2 linked regions of the Drosophila melanogaster genome follow. The gene in region 1 interacts genetically with each later gene. Each region holds a gene or a part of one and is shown on either strand. Other genes may lie near its edges.

Region 1 (6,115 bases):
AATCTTCCTCTTGAATATAATTTGATTAGATGACTCATTTTTGTTTTGAATGTACAATTAATTAGCTATAATTTTTACCCTGTAAGAACAAACCAATTACGGTTAAAGCCCCAAAACGCGAATGCACACTTAAGCAAATTGTACATATTCAGCAAGCAAAAGAGTGGTCGAATAAATCGAATCCCCAAATGGAACAAAAACTATATCGTTAACTGGTTTTTTAATTCGCAGTCTTCAAAAGGGTATATGTAAGATCTTTTTTGATTAAGGCCCGGCTAATGTATTTAAATTGATTTTTGTAAGCTAAAAATAAGTGAAAGCAATTCAGTTGAATTGAAAAGTATTGCTTACAGAGGGAAACAATTTTTTCGTTTATAAATGCAGGAACCGAATATCATTTTTAACTTTTTTGTATACTTTAACGCCTCGAATTGGTTGTGATATAAACAATAAACTTACATTGTTTTGCTATAGCCTCCCAGGAAAAAACCAATTACACACCAGATCGGTTACAAGTTCTCTTAGGTTTATTAAAAAATAATAATACATACATCAAAATATAAGGTTTTCTTTCGTGATTTGCTTTTCGGTCTTTTCAGTTGCTTAGCGGGAATACACATTAGCTTTTGTATATATATATATATACATGCGTTTGCTTGGAAATCGGGATATTCTGGCGACTTTTGTTCGATGTAAGTTCAGATTTCTCGATAATGCAAGGGTATATGTGAAATGGGTATATGAGGGGAGTGGTTGGGCGGCGATACGCATTTAGTTATAGTTTCAGATTCGCTGCTGTCTATCCTAGATCTTGCTATCTACCCAGGGTACACGTTCGTATGGGGTTAGTTATGCCCGTTGCGACCCATAAATATTAATATTGTTAACTTCAAGTCGAGCAGATCGCATTGCATCCCATCTGCCGTGAGTGGCGTTTTCTCAATTTTACTAAAGCGAATACACAGACTTCAATTCAATTGTGTGTACAGGGGTACGTACATAACATAGATTGTATTCGTTTATATATTCTCTTGTATATATATAAAAAGTATCGAATTGCTCTCTTGAAGGCGAAGGCGCTGTTGGTGTTTCGTTTGTATCTTAACGTTTTGTTAACTTTATCTCCTCGTTTTTCTATCCTTTCTCCATAACTCTAAGTGATGACAATGACAACAAAGAACTTGGACGAGTATTGGACACAATGACGAAAAAACAAAAGTTAAAAATTACAAATGGTTTTTAAAATAAACAGATATAATGAGTAATGCCGAAAAAATAAGAAATTGAGCTAAACAAAACATAGCAGATATACGCAAAATGATCGGCTCAAATTAAAAACAAGGCTTACAAATCAGGAAATATAATTTTGTTAGGCTTTTCCGACTTGTCACAGTACATAAAATGGAATGTTTTTTTTTTTTATAAATTATTCGTGCTCGTATATGTGATTTTGTTACAATTATTGCCGTTTCAAATGGTTAAGTTAAATAAATTGATCTGCCTTCAGCATTTGATGCCCTCTCTCTATTTCACTCTCTCCTCTAGCTGTCTCACTCTAGTCTAATACAACAAGCAAGAATAATAACAAGACGTAAATCTTACAAATTTAAATACACATATATATATATGCCAGGAAAAAAGATAAAAACAAGAGACTGCATTCAAAAACGTGCAAATGAATAGGTGTGTTTTCTTTGACTTTGAGTGTTTCGTGGAATGTATGGAGGAAAGTCGTATGATGATTACACATGTATATACAATCGTGTTTTATATATTGCTCACCTACAATCGGACTGGAAATTTTGCAGAACGTTAAATTTGAATGGCCAGGATTAACAAGAAATGAATGGGATATGGCCGATATGTTGTTTACTCAATCAATCAGGCTTTCAGGCTAATACCAATAGATTTTATAAGGTGACTTTTCAAATCATGGCTGGTTGAGCTATGACAGTCGCTTTAGTAAGTGAGCGATATACAAGCGATCAGTGTACATGTGAATAAGTTGGCCTAACTTGTATAACTTTAAATAATTGACTCGAGTTTAACGAACTTATTCGATCTTAAGGAAAGTTAAGTCTGATAAACTGAAAATCCTCTGCACTTCTCAGCGATGAATTCGCGTTTTCCGTTGCTTAAGTTCTGGCTGCGTCTGCTGGAGGTGCTGTATCGCCGGGTTAATCCTACAAATGCAGCACTCCATCCTTGACATCGCTGGCCATTATCGTGGACGCATTGGAGGCTGCCTGCTGGTGGTGCGACGAGGGTGATGAGGATAATGGCGGCTGATGGTTGTGATTGCCGGCTGACGTGGACGTTGGACTCTCGTCGAGGGTGACGCCCGTTAAGTCCACAATATCGTCCTGATCGTCGTGCTCGATCTCGTCGGAGGTGTTTGTATTATTAGTGTGATGTGACCCACTGGACAGCTGGCTGTTCCTTGAAAAGGATCCGCGATGTGTGGACGTCAGTGTGCGCTGATTGGCCGGCTTCACGGTGATTATCAGATTGGAGCTGTTGGCCACCATCATGTCGGTGACTTGATCCAGAGTCTTGCCAGCCACTTCGATGCCATTTACCTCGATCACCTCATCGTTGACGGCCAGCAGGCCAGTACTTTCGGCCAGACCGCCCGGAACCAAACGGGATATAAAAATGCCCGGCTGCTTCTCTAGCCCACTGGCCGTCACCCTGACAGAGGTGCCATCCCGTATGTAGAATCCCAGGGGCTTATCGCTGCCGTGCTTCAGTAGCCGCACTCTTCTATGCGTTTCCGGCACTATATCCACATCTATAATGGCCGAGACTTGACGGAAATCGTGCGGTATGGATATCGATGGCGCCTTTGTCTTCACTGGCGTATGGCCCATCAGTATGCTGCCGATGAGGTTTCTCGGTTTCATCGTTCCAAAGCCAGAGTACTCATTAAGATCATCTATAGAGTGAACGAAAAGATTGTGGTTGAGTGGCTCGTATTGTATCTTATGCATACCCATACTCACCCTTTCGCTGCACAATGACCCGTAAAAGTGGACGTGCTGTTTTCAGGGCCCGGCCGAAGTTATCGTCGTTGTTAATCGGCAACAGATCATTGTCCCGCGGATCGATGTAGAGTATGAGAAACTGGATGTTGGTCAGCTTGTGCAGCTGCTCAATGAGGGATGCGAATTTGTCGAAGCTCTGCTCCGCCTCATTTCGCTTGAAGCTCCACCTCCGAAACTCTGCATCGAACTAAAGGATACGTATTGATTAGTAAAGGGGCTGAATCTTTTGAAACCCGTATAGTTTGTTCATCAGCATCACCTGTTGATTCAATTGTATGCAGACATTTTACTAATTTAATGGGACCTTCACTGAATTGCAGTACATCTACTGCCTTATAGCTATTACTGGAGTTTATCTTGAAGAATTGTACCTTGACTAATTAATAACTGAAGTTTCCTTCTCTGTAAAATTACAGAAAATGAACGAAACAGGGTAGTTTTTGAGTAAGGCGCAACAGATTGGTTTTCAGGCAAAGAGCCCAAGCAATAAAGGGTGTTGCAACAATCCATATCAGAGCTCAGGAATTCCGACAAGTAAGATGCATTCGCAAGGGCAAATTGTCACTTTTGGGGTGCTTCTAAGATGGAAACCAGTTGCTCCTCACACCTCGCACTCCAAGCATTAATCCCTGCTCTGGCCGCTTTGACACAATCGAGCTCAACAGATAGGAGTTCCCAAATTGGTAGACACATTGCTCCTCAGACTAAAGACCCCCTTTCCACGCACAGAACTCCAATTTAAGCTATTAATCCCATTCCTGAGCGCATGAATCAGCAGCTCAGCGCCGCAGAAAGGGGCGTGGAATCCGGGGGCCACGAAAGTTAGGACTCACCTTCGATTTCACCTCGATTAGATTCGTGTCACTGGCCGCCGTTGCGGACGTTGTGTTTATCTTGTTCTTCGACATTTTCTCCGATCCGCCCGATCAAGAGTGCACTGACAGTTTTCCTCTCCGTTCCTCACACACAACACAAAACACGGCAGTTGAGTTCCGCAGATTCTGATCTGATCTTCAGGATCGAAATCGAACCGATACGCCCGATGCGAACCGAAACCGAACCAAAGTGCAGCGTACCGATGGCGGGGAGCGACGATAGTGGGGGGCCGCCAATAAATTAGAGTTAGAAATCTAAATTAAAACTAATTAAATAAAAAAAATGGATGGATGAACCTATCGGGCACTATCGTACTTCGATATTGGTAGGCACTATCGGTTATCGGATGGTAATAGATCCAGAGTGACCGTGGGGAATGCAAAACCAAAATATACCATTTCAGTTTTCTAAAATACCACAAATATGCTATAAGCAATAGATTTAAACAACAATGAAAGTATCTAAAAAGACTTAGAAATAATAATAATTTGTTTTCAATATAGCTAGCAAAGGTTTTGAATTTATCACAACAATAAGTTTTTTTTTTTAATAACGGTATGTTCTTTGTTTGTTTTTAAATATTTCCCAGAGTAACTTAGGCATGAACCGATGTTGTGCATATATCGATATATCGATAGAGTCTGAGCAGCCATGTTGCTGCGTTAGTGTAGAGACAGTTTGTTTGTGTGGGCTGGGTGGATCTTCAGATGCGCTACATTTGCAAAGTGGCTGCTGTTTGCACGAAAAAAGAGGCTTAACTGTTACAAGACAAGAATTAGCTATATTTAAATGCTCAGTTTTAATCAAAGACGTTTTTTAAATAAATAAATAAAAACCCGCTTTTAAATCGAAGGCAGGCAAGACGCCAGCACGAATATGCCCCAATTGTAGCGCAGCGCCAGCGACGAGGGTTACTGTAAAATGAAACTGTTTTTGTGTGTTGTTGTCGAGCGTGAAGTGTCCAATTAGACAACTGAATTTGTTTAGATGTGAACGCCAGAGTCGAGATAGGTCACACAGCAGCTACGACAAAGTTGAGCGAATCGATTTCAAAACAAAAGCAACCAACGAAACAAAATTTTAAGTCGCTAGAAAAACTAAAAATCAAGATTTTCGAGAGGAGGTGCTATACCAAATACATATATATATATAGTCTTTAAACGAGTGCGTGTGAAAACATAAACCCAAACAACAGACAAGGAGACTAGCGGGGCCAAAGGAAGCATAAGGAGTCTACACGCAAAGGAATAGTTAAAGCCAGCCCACAACGCACATATTCATATATTTTGGGACCACTTTTCCAAGGCAGCTGGGAAAAGGCGGTGAAATTGCGACTATCCGAGAGCCGAAGAGCTCAGCTGCAGGAATAAGCTGACGAAACTGAAACCTTGAGACAGCGATTCGCACGCACACCAGCGCAGGCCCGCATCAACACAGACACACACACGCACAGCAGCAGGAAATTCAGACATCATGAGTTCGGTAGGATGAGCATGTTCCTCACATAATTGTTAGCATTCTAATAATAATAATACGAAACGATTCTTAAGAAGTTGTATCCGTGATTGTAAAGAATCCTATCCAACAGATGCTTCTTAATCTTATGAATGGTTTAGTAGTGAGAGCTTAAAATCGCGTCCTTACAAATACTTTCCAGCATACTAAGAGTATGAATTTCATTAATAAATACCCTGTTTGTGGAGACATGTGATTTTGTTAGTTAAGTTTGTATGTAATAATCCTTGCCTACAAGTACTGTACTGTACTTGCCATCCATTTTTAAAGTTCGTATGTTCCAATAAGTACAATTCCAACTAGAAATAATGACTCAACCCTGTCATTAAAATCAATTTTTGTATATATAAACTTTTGCCATTCCATACTAATGCCATTCCCCCATTTGCAGCAATACTCGAATGTGGAGAACCTGTCGCCGCAGACGATAAGGCAGGTGATGAGGGAGCTGCAGGAGATGGAAACCACGCCACCGGAAGGCATCAAGGTGCTAATCAATGAGAGCGATGTGACGGATATTCAGGCATTGATCGATGGACCTGCTGGCACTCCGTACGCCGCTGGAATTTTCCGCGTCAAACTGACGCTGAACAAGGACTTCCCGCTGACGCCACCCAAGGCGTACTTCCTCACCAAGATCTTTCATCCGAATGTGGCCGCCAACGGGGAGATCTGTGTGA
Region 2 (3,705 bases), on another chromosome or scaffold:
CGTTGCAGATGCTGCGCCAAGACTCCATCATCATCTTCATCCTTATTCGTATCACCACGCATATCATACTTCAAGGCTGCAGCTTCAGGCCCGAAATTACAGCCAACTCACCCATGTCGATGGCCAGGGCAAGGCCCAAATGGTGGATGTGGGCGCAAAACCTTCGACCACAAGATTAGCTCGTGCAGAGGCCACCGTTCAGGTGGGTGAGAAACTTACCCAACTTATAGCCGACAATCAAGTGGCCAAGGGAGATGTTCTAACCGTAGCCCAAATTGCTGGCATAATGGGCGCTAAGCGAACCGCCGAACTGATACCCCTGTGTCACAACATCAGCTTGTCCTCCGTGAAAGTGCAGGCCACTCTTCTGAAAACCGAACAATCTGTGCGGCTGGAGGCAACCGTTCGCTGCTCGGGCCAAACTGGAGTCGAGATGGAGGCACTAACTGCAGTTTCAGTGGCCGCTTTAACTGTGTACGACATGTGCAAGGCTGTTTCTCACGATATCTGCATCACAAATGTCCGCCTGCTAAGCAAATCCGGCGGAAAAAGGGACTTCCAGAGGGAGGAGCCGCAAAATGGGATAGTTACAGAAGTCGAATAAGTCGAATACCCGACTAACCGGATTAACCACGATACGGGGAATGGAAAATAAACTACTGCTTACTTGATTTAGCCACAAATATTAAATTAAAAGACTTATGAAGCAAGAATACATAAGTGTAAAAATGTAGATGAAATCACTTCCTTATAGGAAACTAATTTGACTAACATACCAATAAAATGTTTCAGAACAAATGGCATAAAAGGGATAAATAATCATATAGTTTATATAGTTTTTGTTTCCAGTCGGTGGATAGAGGTCCATCCATTTTCAGATCTTGAATGAATCACAAGACACATGACTAATTTCAATCGGAAGTTTAAGGTATCTTTAATTCGTGGCCAGAGTGGGTTAAGTTTAAATGAGGGGAATTGATGGATAGTGTTGGTGTGAAGGTGCGATTGGAGGCGTTTCGCGAACTGCGCCTTACAGCTAGAAGTACATACAACATTAGAAGTGTTCAATAAACGCGGATTATCGCTCGCAAATCCTGGCAGAGTTCCCTCTCAACATAGACACAATAAATACGGTGTGGTGAGGTAATCAATCGCTCTCAGTTGAACACCAGGACATTACGGTTCTCCGCCTTGTCCTCCGCATCGTCGCCCTTGGCTCCTTCGGCAACCAAGTGTTCGCCGCGAATCTTGATATTGTGCTCCTCCTTGAACTTGTTCAGCTCACTGCCCTTTTTGCTCAGGTCATTGGTGACCATTTGGATGGTCTTGGCGATGAAATCCTTGTTCTCCACCAGCTGTGGCAGCACCTCCTTCACGGTCCTTTCGCACAGCACACCACCAATTTGACGAAAGCATTTCCGTTCGGGATCCGCCGCCTCCAGAGTTTCTATCACAGTTCTAGGGAGGATAAGGAGTTATGTCATTGTGTCTGCAGGGATTCTCCCACTTGCCCAAAATCACAAACAGACGTGTCATCCATCTTTGGGCCCCCGGTGACTCACTTGTGTTCCCTCAAATCCATTTCGAGCGTATTTAAACTGTTGACCAAATTGCGCTGCTCATTGCGCAGCTGTTGGAACTGGGCCACAATGGCCTCCTGGCTGAGTGCCGGCTTCGCCGATTCGGTGCTCATTGCAATGTTCGCTATCCAAAAGGACCCCTTCGAAATCTAGACCGGGATAATCGCTTCAAATTGGCGATAATCTGCGATTTTCTTTCAAAATACGAGACCGAACACGAGGACTATGCGATAAACGTCCTAACAAATCCCAAGCGCGTCAAGGCAGTAAGACCGTAAATGTATTGTGGAAAAATGGTGTAACGGTAAAAGAAAATATAGCACAACTTCAGTTACTTAAACATAAGTTAATGTAATAATTTATAAATTAATAGTAATTCTATATAAGAATTTCAATTTTATTCTTACTTATAATCAGATTATAATAACTTCAAGCTTTATATAACTTCAAACCCACCTGCTATCAAAAGTCACGGTCATTTCAATGGTAATTACTGAATAATTTATAAATTTTAAAACTAAGTTGGATACTCTCTTATTTAAGATTTTAAATACAAAATTTTAATATCATAAAGACAATGAAATTCGTCACTAAGTAGACGACATACATATGTTGCTTACGTTTCGCGGTGAATGTCATATTTGAATACACGTGCGAGTTGTTTCTAACGCCGTTTATTTTATTTAATGATTTTTATCTAATATATAGCTTTAGAAAATATAAAATCATGCCGGCAGCAGTGGCCACAGGTGTGCAATTCGGTGGACCGCCCAAAAACAAGAAAATCGTGTTCGACGACTCCGGCGAGGCGGTAGTTAAACAAAACAAAAAGGAGCACCCACAAAGGCCAAAATTTGAAGGGAAGGAACAGGTGAAAAAGCCGCAGAAAATTAAGTTTGGAGAGGATGGAAAAGCGAAAGGTGCTAAGTCCTTTAATAAGAACCACCAAAAGCCGGATTTTGCCAACAAACCACAGAGAATAAAGTTCGGCGATGATGGAGAACAAGTAGCTTCCAAGTCGTTCAACCAAAATCATAAAAATGGACCAAAACCACAGAAAATCAAATTTGGAGAGGATAGAGAAGCAGTGCATCAAAAACCTTTCAACAAAAACAACCATAAACATAATGGTCAAAAGTCGGACTTCGCCAATAAACCTCAGAAAATCAAGTTCACTGATGATGGAGAAGATGAAGTAACTGCGAATTCTTCCAACACAAAGACGGAACCGACCAAGAAGTCCCAAAAAATCAAGTTTGGAGATGACGGAGAGTCCAAGGAGAACTTTAAAAAGCCCCAACGAATCAAGTTTGATGAGGATGGAGCTGGAAAAAATGTATCCGACAGCGATGGAGACAGTGATGAGGAACTGGGGGACTCCATTTCCAAAAAGCACAACAAATATCAGTCAAAAATAGATGAAGACGAGGAGTCCCAAAAGAAGTGGTATCATGTGGTATGTTGAAACTAAACTGAAATCGTGGAAATAAATCATTTATAGTTATCACTATCGTATCTTAGCATCCCGACTATCCGTCCACCGATGAGGTGCTGGACATGAAGGAGAACGATCAGCTGGAGCTGTACAATCTCTGCAAGAATTCCTTCGAAGCGGAGAAGATAACTTTTAATAAACGTAAGACTTTCTCGACTCGGAAATTGGAACCCCTACTAATGTTTTTATCTCATCTTTAGGTAATCCCTCGGATGCTCGCTGGTTGCAAACCGCTCTGCACAAGGGTACTGCAAAGGATCGGGCCAATGCGGGCGCCCTTCTGGTGACGAGCAATCCACTGGGCAATTTGGAAGCATTGAGCACTTTAATTGGCTTCTGCAAGATCTCCAACAAGGCCAGCAATGATGTGATTGCAGTGCTCACGGATTTGTGGCAGGAGGTGCTGCTCCCGCCAAACAGAAAACTCCTGGCGGTGCACACACGTGGTGCTGATTGGAAAAAGCTGAAAAAGGATGAGAATTTGCGCAACGAACAGAAGCGCCGCATTTACGCGTACTGGCATTTTGAGAGCGAATTAAAGGATCAGTACCACGAGTTCTTGAAGAACGTTATGCAGGGCCTGCAGACTGGACAGGAACACAATAAGAACTCCTCTATTGTGTCAGCAGC

What was found.
Region 2: of par-6 (region 1) and Pfdn2, changing one suppresses a phenotype caused by changing the other (phenotypic suppression), as found in Drosophila melanogaster (one study listed by BioGRID).

The regions. Positions count from the first base shown.
Region 1 is NC_004354.4:17,701,488-17,707,602, reverse strand, and holds par-6 (par-6), read right to left. Parts: upstream 4,252-6,115; 5' UTR 3,953-4,251; coding exon 3,878-3,952; intron 3,232-3,877; coding exon 3,003-3,231; intron 2,936-3,002; coding exon 2,184-2,935; 3' UTR 507-2,183; downstream 1-506. Other genes in the region: CG8188 (uncharacterized protein), read left to right, coding at 5,394-5,402, 5,827-6,115.
Region 2 is NT_037436.4:11,072,554-11,076,258, forward strand, and holds Pfdn2 (prefoldin 2), read right to left. Parts: upstream 1,836-3,705; 5' UTR 1,694-1,835; coding exon 1,563-1,693; intron 1,459-1,562; coding exon 1,158-1,458; 3' UTR 739-1,157; downstream 1-738. Other genes in the region: Mocs1 (molybdenum cofactor synthesis 1), read left to right, coding at 9-604; Noc1 (nucleolar complex protein 1), read left to right, coding at 2,308-3,036, 3,102-3,216, 3,276-3,705. UniProt on the Drosophila melanogaster protein: Binds specifically to cytosolic chaperonin (c-CPN) and transfers target proteins to it. Binds to nascent polypeptide chain and promotes folding in an environment in which there are many competing pathways for nonnative proteins.